Linked DNA regions of Alligator mississippiensis. The protein of the gene in region 2 purifies or fractionates together with the protein of the main gene of each other region. This does not show direct contact. Links are inferred from orthologs where the notes say so. Each region holds a gene or a part of one and is shown on either strand. Other genes may lie near its edges.

Region 1 (6,973 bases), on a different chromosome or scaffold from region 2:
CCACTCTCTTTCAAAGAGTTCATATTTTTCTACAGAAAAAATTAAGAGCAAAATGGAAGCATTTCCAAAAGTGGAACAAGAAGGTAAGATACCAAAGAAGAGATGCAAGTCAGTTTAGAGTCAGGTGGAACAATTTCCTCCTGTGAAGTCATTTATTTCTCCTAACCCTTTTCAAAACTAAAGTTCCCAGAAAAAGTTTCCCAGATACCTGGAAAAACTAAGTAATTCATTATGTTGATAGGCTTTCTGTAGGTCTGCTATCTATATCTGCCTGCTCTGTCAATCAGGACTGAATTAAGAGGTTTTACATCCCGTACAATCCTAAAAAAGCAAGTACACAAAAAATAAGCTGGTGTAACCAGTTCCTATACCACCCTCCAGAAACAAGAGGGAGGGGTGTGGTCCAAGATGCTGTGGTCCAGCTAGCCTCACCTAGTGAATACTCCATTGGGGACCATCAACAACAGGTTTCCTTGGGTCTAACTGGTTCACTGTGACCACCCTCTTTCCCAACCTGAACTTGACACAGCAGATGATCCGGTCTACTTAATCCCACTTCTTGCTGGATGAAGGCCAAGTAAGAGGAATTCACTGATGACTCGGGTCACAATCAGCAGTAAAAGAGCAATGAAACGAAGTGGAGTGATCCTCAAATCATTTTCACATAATATAGGAACAGGCACTGAAGATGTTGAAACAACCATGATTCATCACAAATATGGTATTAGCCTTAATTCAGTGAATTGGGATGGAAATATCACTCAATTTCTCCTTCAAAAAGAGTCAACTCAACTACGATTGAGTTGGGAAGTTGGGAGGAACTACTTTCCTTTCAAAGGAAAGTAGTTTTCAAGAAGCAGATGGCCAAGTATAACCACTGACAATGATGCAGGAAAAGACAAACCTGTCCGGGTCTGGAATAGAGGTTAAAAATTTATCAAAAACCCAAACTCAGCATACAGACAAAATAGGTCTCTCCCAAACTCCTAATTAAATAAAAAGCTTCTAACCACATACTCTCCAAGCAGTTTTGCACAATGGTTCTGTTCAGTTGCACAAAGCTGTTTTAACCAATGCATAAGTTTACACAAAGATAGCAACACCAGTGTCAGAACAGTAAATACTGGTTCAGTGCACAGCTGCTTACAGAATCCATGTCTCTGTGCAGTCTCACCTGGGTCATCAAGACCCCTCTATGAAAAAGAAGAGAAAAAAAAAAAAGAGAGAAGTATTCAACTCGTAGGGAGAGGGGAACACCCCCCAGAAGCTGTACTCCTCTCAACTACGCATGGGGGGGGATAGATACGCACAGCCATTCTCTACATAACCTTGATGTGGAACCGCCAGTACTAAACAGAGGAGTCTCTGATATTTCCTTAAGAGGTGAGCTTTGGGCAGATCTTCTCGACAACGCCTGGACCCTTCCCAGCCTCACCATTTCTCACAGTGCTTTATAACTCCAAGGTCTTAGGTCACCTGTGCTCTTCCATCCACACCAACTCCAGACATCCTCAGCCTTCAGAAGGGTATTTATCCCCAAAAGCTTGCAAAGAAGAATTTTCCCAACTACTTGAGTTGGTCTAAATAAAAGAAAATCAGACTGACACAAAGAACCTTGTCTGCTTGTGTCCTTAGACCAACCCGCACCCTCAAGTCACCTGAAGGCTCACCGAGGAGCTGGACAACGTCCCAAATCGAGGGATTGCCAACAACGACGCAGCAAGCTCCGAACAAGCGTCACTGACGTTTGCCCGACGTGCCTTACACGGTCCCTGGGTTAGAACCGTTTCTAACTCCAGTGAACCACGGGGCCGGCAGAGGACGCGATCAAACCCTCCCCGCCACTGTCCTGGAGCGGAGAACGGGGAGATACTTACCTCTCCTTTCTTACTTCCAAGACGCATTTAGCGGCAGATACTTACCTCTGGTATCTTACTCCCGAGATACGTTTAGAGAGACCCGTGCAGAGCACGGACAGGACCAGCCCAGGCTGGAGCGAGTTGGCAACTCTGACCCTATTCCAGGAGGTTTCATCACACGATGGCGGGACATGACGGACTTCACGTCAGGAAGGCAAACGCAGTCACTATCACATTTCAAAACCCCACCGGCCCGCTGCATAAATCCAATTCAACACCGAACGTTTGTTTGAACACAGGCCCCATCGTCGATCTCCTAAGGGGATAGTTTCTCAGCCTGTGGTACGCGCACCCCTGGGGTACACGGGTACCCCAGCGCTCTCTCACCCCTTCCTCCTCTCAAAACCACGGCAAAAAATTCGGCACGCCGCACACGGCACGGCGCTTTGAAATCCCCAGGAATAACCTAGCGTTCGTCCCTCCTAGCTGTGGCCAACATCCCCTCTAGCCCAGGCACGTCGAGTCGCGCACCCCTAGGGTAAGAGGTGGCAGCCTTCGTATCACCCACCGACCCACGCTGCATCGGACACCCGTCGTGTCACGACCGCAGCCCTTCTTCCGACGCGTGGCACACGTCACTCTGCAAAGATACCCCCCCCCGGAAAGCTGAGTGGGGGGTAGGCATTAAAAGGCCACCCACCTTCCTCGCTGATGTCGTCCACGAAGTCCTCGGGGTCGCTGAAGGAGATGTCATCCTCCTCCTCTTCTTCCTCCTCCTCCTCCTGCTCCTTCTTCTCCTCCTGCTGCTCCGGGGACGGCTCGGCCTCGGCCTCAGTGCTGGGCTCCGGCTCCTCCGCCTCGGCCTCCTCCTCGGATTCTACCTTGGGCGTTTCCTCGGCTGCGGTCTTCTCCTCGGCGGGCGCGGGCGGCTGTTCCTCCTCCTCCTCCTCAGGGCTGAGGCGGCCGGGCAGCCCATCGGCGGCGGGCGGGTGCTCCGGGGACCCGGGCGGCGCCTCAGCCTCAGCCTCGACCTCCTCCTCCTCCTCCTGCTGCTGCTCCAGCGGGAGCGGCGCGCCCGGCTGCTCGGGCTCCTCGGCGGGCGCCGGGCTCTCCTCGGCCTCCTGCATGGACGGGTCGCTGCTGGGCCGCGCTGCGGAAAGAAAGGGGGAGGGGCAGCGCTGCGCACGGGCCATGTGCGCGACTCCCGGCGGCCACCGCGACGCGGCACGCACCAACTCCCGCGGGAGGGGAAAGCGGATTGTTAGGGGTTTTTTTATTTTGATTCACTCGAATCTCAACACACCGCCTCCTATGCACGTGGAAGGTAATACTTGATCTCTAGTTACACCTCCATTCTCCTTTTTCTCTTCCCTTCCGTAGCAGCTTTTATTCCTGCCCTGCAGGGGTGTGTCCTCCCCACCCCTATTTCATTCGACATCTTGGTTCATTCCAGCATGGCGGCCTCTTCCCTTCACCCGCCTAAGGTGGGGTCCGACTGAACCATCTTTGAGTGGAAAGGGGGGGTTGGTGGTACCTGCGCATTTCCCCCCTGCGTAGATCCAAAGGGAAGGTTGGGTCCCTCCGTCTATTTAAATGCCAGTGGTGGCGTGAAGGCGGCTGTACAGAGTTTAGGACACGGATTGATGTCCCACCAATTCTGTGCGATGGGTTCGTCCAAAGGCGAGGGGTGGTGGGATTGAGTGTGTGGGCGCTACCACCTTCATCAAAGGGGGGGTGCACAAGGACAATTCGAAGGTGGTAGGGTCCGCCACATCAGCCTAGCCTGCAGTCTCGTGGTCGGAAAGGGGCTGCCTCCCCTCCAGGTGGCCATGACACTAGAGGCAAAGCACAAGCCTGAAGTGCTCAGCAGTAGGGACGTGCTGGGCTGTTTGTGTCCAGGGGCCAGTGATCCAGCCCCATCTGGAAGGGCTTCAGATAATTCATAGGACAGCAGCTCTAATCTAGCCAGACCCTAAAGGGCTTTCGTAGCTCTGCACCCACATGGGGCCCAGCCCCTAGCGCAAAGGGCACAGAGACATGCACGGTTCTTTGGGTAAATCTGATGTCTTTTATTAGACCAACTCAATAGTTGGAAAAACTCTTCTTTGCAAGCTTTTGAAGACAAACGCCCATCTTCAGGTGAAAAAAAGAAGGGTGTTTTCACTCAAAAGCTTGCAAAGAAGAATTTTTCCAACTTTTTTTAAGGTCTTTTTTTTGTGTCCCAAGTCAAGTCAGCCAAATTGATTCCAAATGGGCTTCAGATGCAGGTATCGTACATGCAGGCCCAATCCTGGAGGCTTGGGGTTTGGAGGCCTTCAAGTTTCGCTTGCCCTCAGCCGTATGGCGGCAGGAGCAAGCTAGGGAAGAGCCTCCCATTTCCATAAAGTTGGTGTGTAGCCAAGATCTTCCCATTAGGAGTAAAAGTGCGAGGCTAGCTGCGCTACAAGGTACTACTCCCTGCCATGTTGGTCTAATTAAAGATATCACATTTACCCAAACAAGCTTGTCTGCCTACGTCCTTAGACCAACATGACTACAACCAACACCTCCAAGGGCACAGAGAGGCACTTCAGAAGCAATGGAAATGGGATCCAGCACTTCTTTGCCTGTAGCTCAGCAGTGCATCAGTAGCTGAGATATCTGCTGACCCTCTAACTGGTGCAGTGAGAGATACCAACTCCCTCAAAACTATTTAGGATTTAGAGGGATGTCATCCACTTGATGGGTGGTCACATTCAAAAAAGAGTAAAAGTGCAGCTACACTGACCCTCCGCCAGTTTGTGATTTGACAATAGCATTTCCCTCTCTGTCAGAAATTGTCCATCTTTCCACGTCACTGCCAAGGGAGGCTGACTGGTGATATGAGTATTTAGGAGAAACGGTGAAAGGATTCTGCCACAGTCATAAAAGAACAGGAAAGCAAGAGCAATATGTTCTCAAAACTCTTTAAGCCTTGCATATCATTTTAACATCACTGTGATTTCTATAGTGAGGGTGTCCATTTATTTTCCATGTTGGCTACTGAGGTGACAAATAAGTGACTTTCCTAGAACTTGTGGGTCCCTCACCTGCTTAGTGCCACTACAGGTCTGAGGCCAAAAGAAAAAAATAAACATTTTAAAAGGTCCTGTAGTGACACTGTGTGCCATATGCAAGGTCAGTCCACATGTGTATAATTGCCAAGCCACACGATAGCATCCTCGGTGGCTGTGTGCAGTTCCTGTAGTCCACCACTGAACTTAGTGGGCAATCATCAACAATATGCAACACGGCATGTGTTGTGCCACAGTTATAGTCTGGATTGTTGTGAAGACCCCAGTGGTGGAGGTTGGCTGCACACAGACCTTGCCCAGTCTGCAACCTATTCAGCAAGGCCCACTGACAGCATGGCAGATTGGAGCCAGATGGCAGACTGTAACATCTGGGACAAGGAACTGTCACAGCCTGGGGTAGTGCCAGACTTGATGCTGTCCAAAACTTCACTCAATTCAAGAACTGTGAAGGGTTCTGGAGGGGTTCTGGTCTGCGGCATCTGGTGAAAAGTTCTTCATTGCTTTTGGAGGCAGCTTTTCACTCCTTTTTCCAGCGGCGCTCTTGCTACATGAAGTAGGTGGCTGGCTACTTGGTTAGGTGCCATGAGAGGGTGACCTGGTGTTGATGGCTGATGAGCCACTCCAAAATGACAAAGTAGACTCCAACACTTCCAGATGGAATGGGTGAAGTCCAGCTTCTCAGTCATTTCCTCCTATCAAGCTCGGTGAGCTGCTTCCAATGATTCGATCAAGTGATTGGCGACATCTGGGTTGGCAGCTGACTCATACTGCTTTAGCAGGGTGACACACTTGGGATCAAAGCAGGGAGGATAGACTGGGCAGCAGCCACATGGAATGGCCCACAGGCTGCTTTATAAATGGTGCCACAGGGATGACTATAGGCCTCTTCTACCTGAATGCTCTGGGTCGGTATTGTCACATTGCTTCATTCCAATGACTTGCTATACTTCTCCTAATTAGTCTTACAGAAGTTCCACCCTTCTTAGAGCTTTTGAAGATTGGAAGCTGGAGTCTGATGTGGACCAGAGATGGCCTGTGCAGGAAGTTGTCCAAGACCTGGCAAGATGCTGGCTGATGTGCAAAATAACAAATGTAAAGCAGGATGTGAAAAAAGTCTTTGACTTGGTTGTGGATACTATTTTGATTCTGCAATGGACTTGTCTACACAGAGAAATGGCTCGGAATAGTCATTCTGCAGTCACTCCCCATGAGGATTCTCATGTTCTACATCAGTGGAGGCCAACCTTTTTGGCGGGCATATCACAAATTAGCCCTGTGCCCTCCTCAAGTGCCACTCTGATTACTCCTCCCCCAGCCTGATCTGTTGCTCTGTTTTCTGTTCCCAACTCTATCTGCTGCTGTGCTGCCTGTCCCTTCCCTAATCAGCTGTGTGCTACACAGAGGCTGCCTGTGCCACATGTTGTACGCGTGTTGGATGTTGGCCACCCCTTTTTTACTCTAGCAGTTGGTTTTTGGTCCACTTTGGAAATGGAGTTAGCCACATAGTAAAAAGGTATTCTGCAGATTAAGAAAACCCATACAAAGAGTTAATGCTGATGTCAGACCCTATCTTATTTTGCAATCACTTCTGTATGTGGATAATCCTTTGGGGGAAGAAATCGGAAGAATAAAGCAAGGAAAATCCAGCTTTGTAATTTTGTAAATTAGTCACAAGATGTCACCCTAACTCCATTCAAATCCAATTAACTGCTTATTTACTTGCAGTTGCATGTTTACATGTAAGTTCTTAGAGAAAGGTTAACTTTTTTCTCTGAAGTGGGAGATCAGATACTTCAGTATCTTCCAGCTAAATCATTATGGTAGGTTTGATTAACAAGACTTTGATTTTCTAGTTTGCAGCAATAAGCTAACTGAAAGTACCTGGAACAAAGTTTTGCTCCTTTCAGACTGACCCGTGCTCCTTCAATAACCACTCAAGTTACCATAAATACATGACTCTGCTTTCTTCTCTTTGCCTCTATAGTTTGTTCTTGGAGATCTTTTCATTTATAATAGCTATTCTTACTTTCAATTTCTCTCTTTTTTTTTCCCTTTCTGGTA
Region 2 (7,998 bases):
CCCCACCCCTGCTTCATTCCCTCCCTCACCGCAGGGGCCTTGATCTGTCCTCCCCCCCAACATCCCTTCCTCCCCCTCCCCTTCTACCACAGCAGACTTACCAGCTGGCAGCTCTCCACACTGCCACTGTCTTCACTGCTTACGTGCTGCACTGCAGCTGCACACATGTAAGAGCATTTAATCAGCCCAATTATCAGCCACTTACGGCCAATTTCCGACAGATCATTTTCGTTATAATCGGTGCCAATCCAATATCGGACTGATGTATCAGTGCACCTCTACTTTCAAGTCCAATCTCCTGCCAGGCAACTTGAAGAGATGGCCACAGCATCAGCAGTAAGCAAAGGGTGAGAAAGCAGCAGCTCTGTGCATGTGCTCTGACTACAAGAACATCTCTCTAGCTACAGACAGCCCTCACCCTGAGCAGTACAGCATTGAGTTTATACAGGTAGGGAGAGAATGAATTTGAAAATAAGGAAGAATGGAGACATGAGGAGAGAAAAAATAATAACACCAGTATAAACAACATCTGTGGAAAAATATGGTATGAGGAAATACTAAGGTCACTGTCTACCAGTTTAGCATGTGGGGGATGTCAAAATAAAGGAGACTGCAAGTCTCTACTTTCTCTATGTAAAAAAAAAAAAAAAGACAGAAAGGAAGAAGTTGAGCAAGCCAAGAGCAAGAACAACTTATCTCCTCTACAAAACTCTTGGAACAGTAGCCTGCCGATCCAGAAGTGTCAGATTACATCCCTCTCCTCCAATTTTTCATCATATGGCCACAGAGATGATTTTGGAAGGATATACAAGTACAGTACTAGTCTTCAAACTTTTGGCCCCCCCAATAAACAGGTCAAAGTTAGGGCCTTATGGAGTGGGTCAGAAATTTCAACTAGGCCTCTTCCTGAAGAAGTTGCTTTGTTTCTTTCCCAAATGACCAAAACAAAAAGGAACAAAATACCTACCATTGCCAACTTGTGGTGCAATGGCCTCTGCCTCTGGCCAAGGACTGTTTTTAAAAAACCTTTCTGTTAGCTTGGTCCAGCTGCAAGATAAATCACACGTAGTTAAATTTAGAGACTGTATACATTTGGAGGTGTCAGACTCATCAGGCCCTGTGGGCCAGATGAGTGGCTTGGATCCAATCTGCAAGCTAGATCAGGCCCACAGACTGGCCCCATGCACTGTATCCAGGATGCTACGTGTACCGTATGCAGCCCCAAAAGGTATGGTCCCGTGAACGCCGCATGTCAGCAATTTGAAATCCACGGGCAACATTGCAGGCTGTGTAACAGGACTATATGGGCTGTATCTTTTATACTCCTGGTATCATTAATTTCTCAGTGAGAGAGGGAGGGAATTAAAAGACATTTCCAATTTAGACAACATGCCTTGTTAAAGCCCTTTCTGTTTTGGATTCATAAATAAATTTGGGCAAGCTTTATCCTCAGAGTCCAGAAAAGAATTGTAAGTTGCTCACATATACCATGCGCTGCTTGCCTGCATACTTCAGCCACAAGCTACAGAAGCCACTTTTGGAAAGGATAACGATAGCAAGTGCTGCATAGGTTTCTTCAACTCTCGGCATTTCTGCTGACCTGATCAAGTGGGCTAACTGGTGCCACTTTCCTATAATCTCTACCTGTCTGGCTTGAGGGAAACAAATGACTTAGAACAGCTGTTCCCAATCTGTGGTATGGGTACCACCAGTGGTACGCAGACAACCTGTCAGTGGTACGTGTTAACAGATTTATTATAATTACTTTACGTGACAAAGATTTGCTGGTGGTACTGATGGTTGCATTGTTCTAAATTGGGGGTGCACCATCTGTCAAAGTTTGGGAACCAATGACTTGGAACGATAAGATCTTATCCTCGTCAGCTACTTAAATCTAGCCACAACCCTGGATTTTAAACAGCATCCCTCAACCTTTTTAGACTCATAACATCCCCCTCCTTGGGGCTCACTCATGGCACCCCTCCAGAAATGCCAGCTCTTAAGCTTCCACTTGCTTGACCATGGCAAAAAAACAGAGCCATTTTTCTGCTGCAGAACTCAAAGCTGTAATGGGGCAGAAGGGTTGTAACACTATGGACTTTTCTCCAAAATTACCGGATTCATTTTGTGAATCACGTGCATGCACTGAACGGCACTAACATGGCACAGGGCCTGTGGCTCCACTCAACAATCTCAGTGTCCCAGGAGGCTGTGGCGGCCTGGCTGGGAGCCGCTGTTTGAGACCAACCCCTGATTTGGGTCAGGGCTGCTCCTCAGCACTGCCTGAAGCAGCACAGGGGGGCCCTGCGTGTGGGGGTGGGACGGAGGAGCGTTCCCAAGCAGCACAGCCCAGCCCAGCCCGGGGCACCTGTTCTCATAGATGTCCTGGATCTCGTAGACCTTCTGGTCGATGAGGTCGCTGGAGACACGGCTGGCCTGCAGCTCGTACACCTTCTGGTCGATGAGGTCCGAGACAGTCTTGTGGAAGTACTGGATGAAGTTCTTGATCACCTCGGGGATCACCTGGTAGGTCTGCTGCTCGTACTGCCGCTCGTATGCCAGGTCCTGCTTCGGGTCTCCTGCGGACAGACAAGGGGGCGGGGGCCGCGCCACATCAGCCCTGCCCGCCTCAGCTCCCCCCGGCCCGGCCCGGCCCGGCCTCGCGCGTGGACTCACCCGTGTGCATGTCATAGTCGCCGGGGTAGGTGTAGGGGTCGTAGGAGGCCTGTGGAGGGGGGCGGAGAAGGAGGGTCACCACGAGGTCCCGAGCCCCAGCCCCAGCCCCCTGGGCCCTCCCCGCCCCCCGGCACCTCGTTGTCGTAGTCCTCGCCGGGGTAGGCCATGGCAAGCGCGCGGGCGGGTGCGTCGAGGAAAGGGGCCCGGATGGGAACGCGGCCGGGACCAAAAGGGCCGCGACGCAGAAGGGAAGTGCGGGGCGCGGCGGTTGAAGGCAGGGGGCGGACGCAGCACTATCGCGCGCGGCGATTGACGGAGAGTGGAAGGACAGCAGGCTCAGCCGGGAGGGGCGGGACTTCACCACCTCCTCGCCCCGCCCCTCCCGCCTGAGCCCTCCTCCCTTCTTAGAGAGCTTCCCTCTTCCATTCCCTCGTGCGGCCCCGCCCCCCGATTGGCTGAAGGAAGCGGCGCGTCGAGGCTTTCCGGTGGGTGACGCAGTTCCCGTCGTCTGCCCCGCCCCGCCCCGCCCCATCCTCTCTGCGATTGGCTCGGCTCTGCCATTGGGCGAAGCGCTGGCTACGTCACCCACTTCTCGTTGCCTCTTCCTTCCCCATCCCCCCGCCTCCACCTCCAGGTTTGGCTGATTGGCTTCGCGTCATCGCCGGCCGGGCCGCTCATTGGCTAAACTGGGTCTGAGTAGCTCGCCCCACCCTCGTTGCCGGAGTGACGGGCTAGTCCCCGCCCCCTATGTCCGCGCGGCCTGGGCCCGGCGGCGGCAACGATGGAGGATGGCGGCGCCGCCGGGGCCGGGGCCGGGGCCGGGGGCAGCGAGGAGGCGCCGCGCGGGGCGCTGGGGCTGGGGCCGGAGGGCGGCGCGGCGGGGCTCGGCTGCCTGCACGTGCTGTGGCAGCGGGACTCGCCGGCCGGCAAGATCCCCGCGCGCCGCCTGCGCCGCACCGCGCGCCTGCACTGCAAGCTGGGGCCCACGGGCAAGGAGATCCACGGTGAGGGCCGGCCGGGCGGGGGCGCTGCGGCTGCGTTGCCGGTAGGCTCCAGAGTGAGCGCCATGCCAGCCGTGCAGCTGCCTGGGGGAACGGGGCGATGGTCAGTAGGCTCCAGAGTGAACTATGCCAGCCCCGCTAGCTTGTGCGGTTGCTAGTAGGTTTGAGCGTATGCCATGCTGCTTGCACGAGCTCATGCAGTTGTCAGCAGGTTCCAGTGTGAACGCTGCACCAGTCGTGCCGGCCCGTGTGGTTGTCTCTAGGTTCCAGAGTGAGCGTTGCCACTCGTTGTGCCCACCTGCCTAGTTGTTGGTAGGTTCCAGAGTGAACGCCGTGTGAGTTGTGCCGGCTCCTGTGGTTGTCAGTGGGCTCCAGAGTGAAGGCCGTGCTAGTCACGCCAGTGGTGGGCCCGCTCATAACTCCACTTGACAGAGGAGTGCACCAGGCTGCGGGTCCCTGTGCCCATGGGCTGGACTCAGGTTTTGAAAAGTGGGGTACGGAGGGCGAGGTGCCATCACGTGCAACACAACACTGGTTTTTCTCCAGTTACAAAGACACTAGAAGCTTTACTAATCTGCCAGGGCTGAGGGCTGCCTTGCTCAGTTTGAGATTGTTTTAAACTCATTCCAGTGATGTTAGATTAAAGCAAAAACAGTCTGCCGGGCTGTGAAATTGAAGCTTGGTGACCCAGAGCAGCAGACAAGCAGCAGAATTACAGAACAAAGGCTCGCTGGGTGGGTGGACTTGTCAGTAGGTTCCAGCGTGAATGGCGCAATTAATCATGCTGGCTCATGCAGTTGTCCATAGGCATCCAGACCATTAAAAAGAACAGGGTCATTAAGGCCTGTGGAATGGACAGTTTAGAAGGGATGATGTAGATAAGCATCCACAAAGTCAAGTGGCTTCCTCAGCACTGCCTGACTACAAATGCTGCTGCCACTGCCAGGCAATTGGTTTTTAACTTCAGGTGGAGCAGGCATCAAAGCGGGGTATGAGTACAGCATTCCCCCCACCTCCAATCTGACCCATCCCTGTGCAACGGTTAAAGGTGAGAGGCACATTTTTAAGAGACCAAGAGGTAGATTCCAAGTGCAGAAGATGGCATCCCCCAAGGAAAACCGTAACCCCTCAGGTGCTGTCAGCCAGACCAGTGCAATCCCTTCCAATCCCTTTCTGACACTTGTGCCAAGAATTGAAAAGAATGTAAAAGATTCAACTAACAAGTAAGGAAATAATCTGTCAGGTGCTTAGGAAAGGAAAAAGGGGGATAGGAAAATGTGTCACTGAGACAATGCAGGCAAAGGGTCATGGAAGAAAAAACACAGCCAAGGTCAGATGTTTCAGCACCGTCTCAGAGTCTGGGTGGAAGGTCTTTCTGTAGCCTTGCATGCCAACAAAAATATTTTTGTCAGACTACCTCTGCCTTCCAGGGGTGGAGCAGGGAGGAAATAGTGGTGTCTAAGATTAGCTGTGCAGGGGAGTTAGGAAAAGGCATTCATTTGAGTTAATTTTGCCTTTAAAGTTGATCCTGAAGGGAACTTCTTCTGGGAGTGCTCTCCCAAAGGAAAGGTTTATGAGCAGCTCTAAAAGAAAAGCATTAAATCTTTTTTTTCAGTAGCTTGTTCACCTATCCCTTTCTCCTGGAGGAGTCAAGCCCGTGTTTGATTGAGTCCCTTAACTTATTCTTGAGCTAAGTAGAAGCATCTGACAAGGAAACCATCCCTGTTCAGTTTCCATTAACCTCTTTCTCATTTTCACAGCTCTGAAAAGGCTGAGAGAATCCGCCAATGCTAATGACCTAGACACAGGTGAGACTTCACCAGGTGGGCTTATTTCCAAACTTTGCTCTGGAAGGGCAGGTTTGGATTGGGCATCTTCAGGAAAAGGAGTAGGAAATAGGGTTTGGACATAGCGGGACTGGTCTGGAGCGATGTCTGCCTTTGCTATGTCACAGCTGTAAAACCAGTGTTCCATACTGATATCCCTGTGTGTTGAATCTTGCAGTGTTCTGTGCCTCCTCACACCAGTGAAATGATTGATAACAACTTGATTACCCCTTGAGGTTCTACCATTAGCATGTATGAGACAGCTGGTTGTAGAGAGGAACAAGGGGAACCCCTTTCCTCATCTCTTTCCCTCATTCCCATCTCTGTCCAAACATGTCATAGCTGCTGCACCAGTCAGGGTCCTCACTCTGTTCACACTCTCTTCTCATCTCTGTCTCTCGGTGATGTCAGTGCAGCAACTCTTGGAGGATGGGGTTGACCCCTGCGCTGCGGATGACAAAGGCCGTACAGCCCTGCACTTTGCCTCCTGCAATGGCAATGACCGCATTGGTGAGTAGGAGGAGGTGTTCATGATCCAGCGTCCTCAGGGAGGGACAGCAGAGGAATCCAATTCAATTCTGCATCTGTGTAGAATCAGGATTTCTGTTGCAATCCATGGCGCGATACATACTACTTAAGATCATCGCAGACTTGAGAGGCAAAGGGAAGAGACTGAAATTGGTCTGTTTCATTGTTTCTAGTGCAGTTGCTTCTGGACCATGGCGCAGACCCAAATCAGAGAGATGGGTTGGGGAACACTCCATTACACTTGGGTAAGTGTCTGGAACCTGAAATGGTATCTTCTGTAACCTTTGTAAACAAAGGTAAAGAAATCCCACCCATTTCCCTTTTTACACCTGTGCATCCTGGCAACCAGTGCCTATTTTTGAAGACTTGGGAGGGATGCTCTTTAGATCCTATTTGCTCTGTTGTTTTTAACTGAAGCCTTCAGGGTCCCAGGCTTCCCAGAGGGAAGTGTATCACGTTCTTCCTGCTGGCTCTGATGAAGAAGAAACTATCCAGATGGAAGTAAATTTCTGGGCTGACTTCAAATGGAAGTGCTCCTGTGTGCAACTACAAAGAGCCCTGTCAGATGTTGAGTGTTTGTGCCCAGCAGGCTCTGGACTAGAGCAGAATCCCTTTCACTGAGTTGTGTGTCTTGTTTTTCCTCCCCAGCTGCCTGCACAAATCACGTTCCTGTCATCACCACGCTGCTCCGCGGAGGTAACACTTCCTCTTTGCAAATTATAAAAAGTTACCACCTTCTCCATGATGTTCCCTGAGGATGCTGCCTCTTTAAAACCAACCTCCCCCTCTCTCTTGCTCTTTGCATCTTTCAGGGGCCAGAGTAGATGCCCTAGACCGAGCTGGGAGGACACCTCTGCACCTGGCCAAATCCAAGCTGAACATCCTGCAGGAAGGGCTGTCTCAGAGCCTGGAGGCTGTGCGCCTTGAAGTGAAACAAGTAAGAACCATTCCTGCTGTCTGCTCCTCCAGGGAATCTGTGTCTCAAGCATTGACATTCTGTCCTACACCCCCTAGGGAAAAGATCTCAAAGGTCCACCCTGAGCCTTGCAGCATATCAGGCTACTATGGCTAAGGCATACCAGTTTCTCTAGGCAATGGCACATGAGGGAGTGAAGTGGCTAGCATCACATCCAGCACAATAGTTGAACACAACTCTAGAACTGTAGCAAGGTGCCTTAGCCAGGCTGCCACTGCATCCCTGTAATAGGGGTAATGTTTAGTAACAGGTTTAATAGTCTGTTAGGGTGCACACCATATAGCCCACAGGCTGCCCCCTCAAAAATTTTTATTAGGATGTGGAAAGCAAATGAGTCCTGCATCCATGCTATGCAGCCATTTGCTAATCTGTTCATGCATATGCATGTATAGTTCAGTTTTGTGCTTGTAAAGATAAGGGCTCCTGTGTGGGCAGAGTAGATTCCACTGTGACAGCTCTCTACTGGAATGTGTACCCAGCAAGTGGCCCTCAGTGAAGTCTGAGCTGCTCATTCCTGCCTTAGGATCTCTACTCTGATGTGGTCCCTGACCTTCCTCCTTCCTCACTTTGACAGCTCCTCTGCGCCCTGTGTTTGGAGAATCTTTTCTTAAATGCTTCCACTGAGTTTTTGCAGGGTCTCTCCAGTGGTGTAGGCCCAACTGCACTGAACACAAAACTGTTCCAGGTCTCAGTGCTCACACTGTCTGGCTGACAGACAGGAGAGAAGACTCTGTAGAACTGTCCTTGGATGTTTCCAACACAATCAGTCAGTGAAGGACTAGTGCACAGTTAAGAATTGCTCTGCATTGGCCACAGCACTGCCATATTGACTGCTTCCCAAGGTGACCCTGTATGGCTGCTTCATTCTAACAGCTATATGTGGGCTAGTAGATCAATGAATTCTAATCTGAGTATGATGTATGTGTGATCAACTAGTGGTCTAACTTCTGACAGCACATTAGCCTGTGCTGCTACAAATAGCCCTGTCTAG

The links.
Region 1: the proteins of EIF3L (region 2) and EIF3B purify together in Homo sapiens (affinity purification with mass spectrometry; 8 studies listed by BioGRID and IntAct, counting the BioPlex papers as one, with this or other methods). This does not show direct contact. The link is inferred for Alligator mississippiensis from reciprocal best matches to the Homo sapiens genes EIF3L and EIF3B.

What each region holds. Positions count from the first base shown.
Region 1 is NC_081836.1:51,167,548-51,174,520, reverse strand, and holds the start of EIF3B (eukaryotic translation initiation factor 3 subunit B), read right to left. Parts: upstream 3,015-6,973; 5' UTR 2,987-3,014; coding exon 2,560-2,986; intron 1-2,559.
Region 2 is NC_081827.1:99,958,565-99,966,562, forward strand, and holds the start of EIF3L (eukaryotic translation initiation factor 3 subunit L), read right to left. Parts: upstream 3,014-7,998; 5' UTR 2,844-3,013; coding exon 2,811-2,843; intron 2,726-2,810; coding exon 2,677-2,725; intron 2,580-2,676; coding exon 2,369-2,579; intron 1,048-2,368; coding exon 968-1,047; intron 1-967. Other genes in the region: ANKRD54 (ankyrin repeat domain-containing protein 54), read left to right, coding at 3,458-3,680, 5,438-5,485, 5,915-6,013, 6,205-6,276, 6,680-6,727, 6,844-6,968. UniProt on the Homo sapiens protein: Component of the eukaryotic translation initiation factor 3 (eIF-3) complex, which is required for several steps in the initiation of protein synthesis.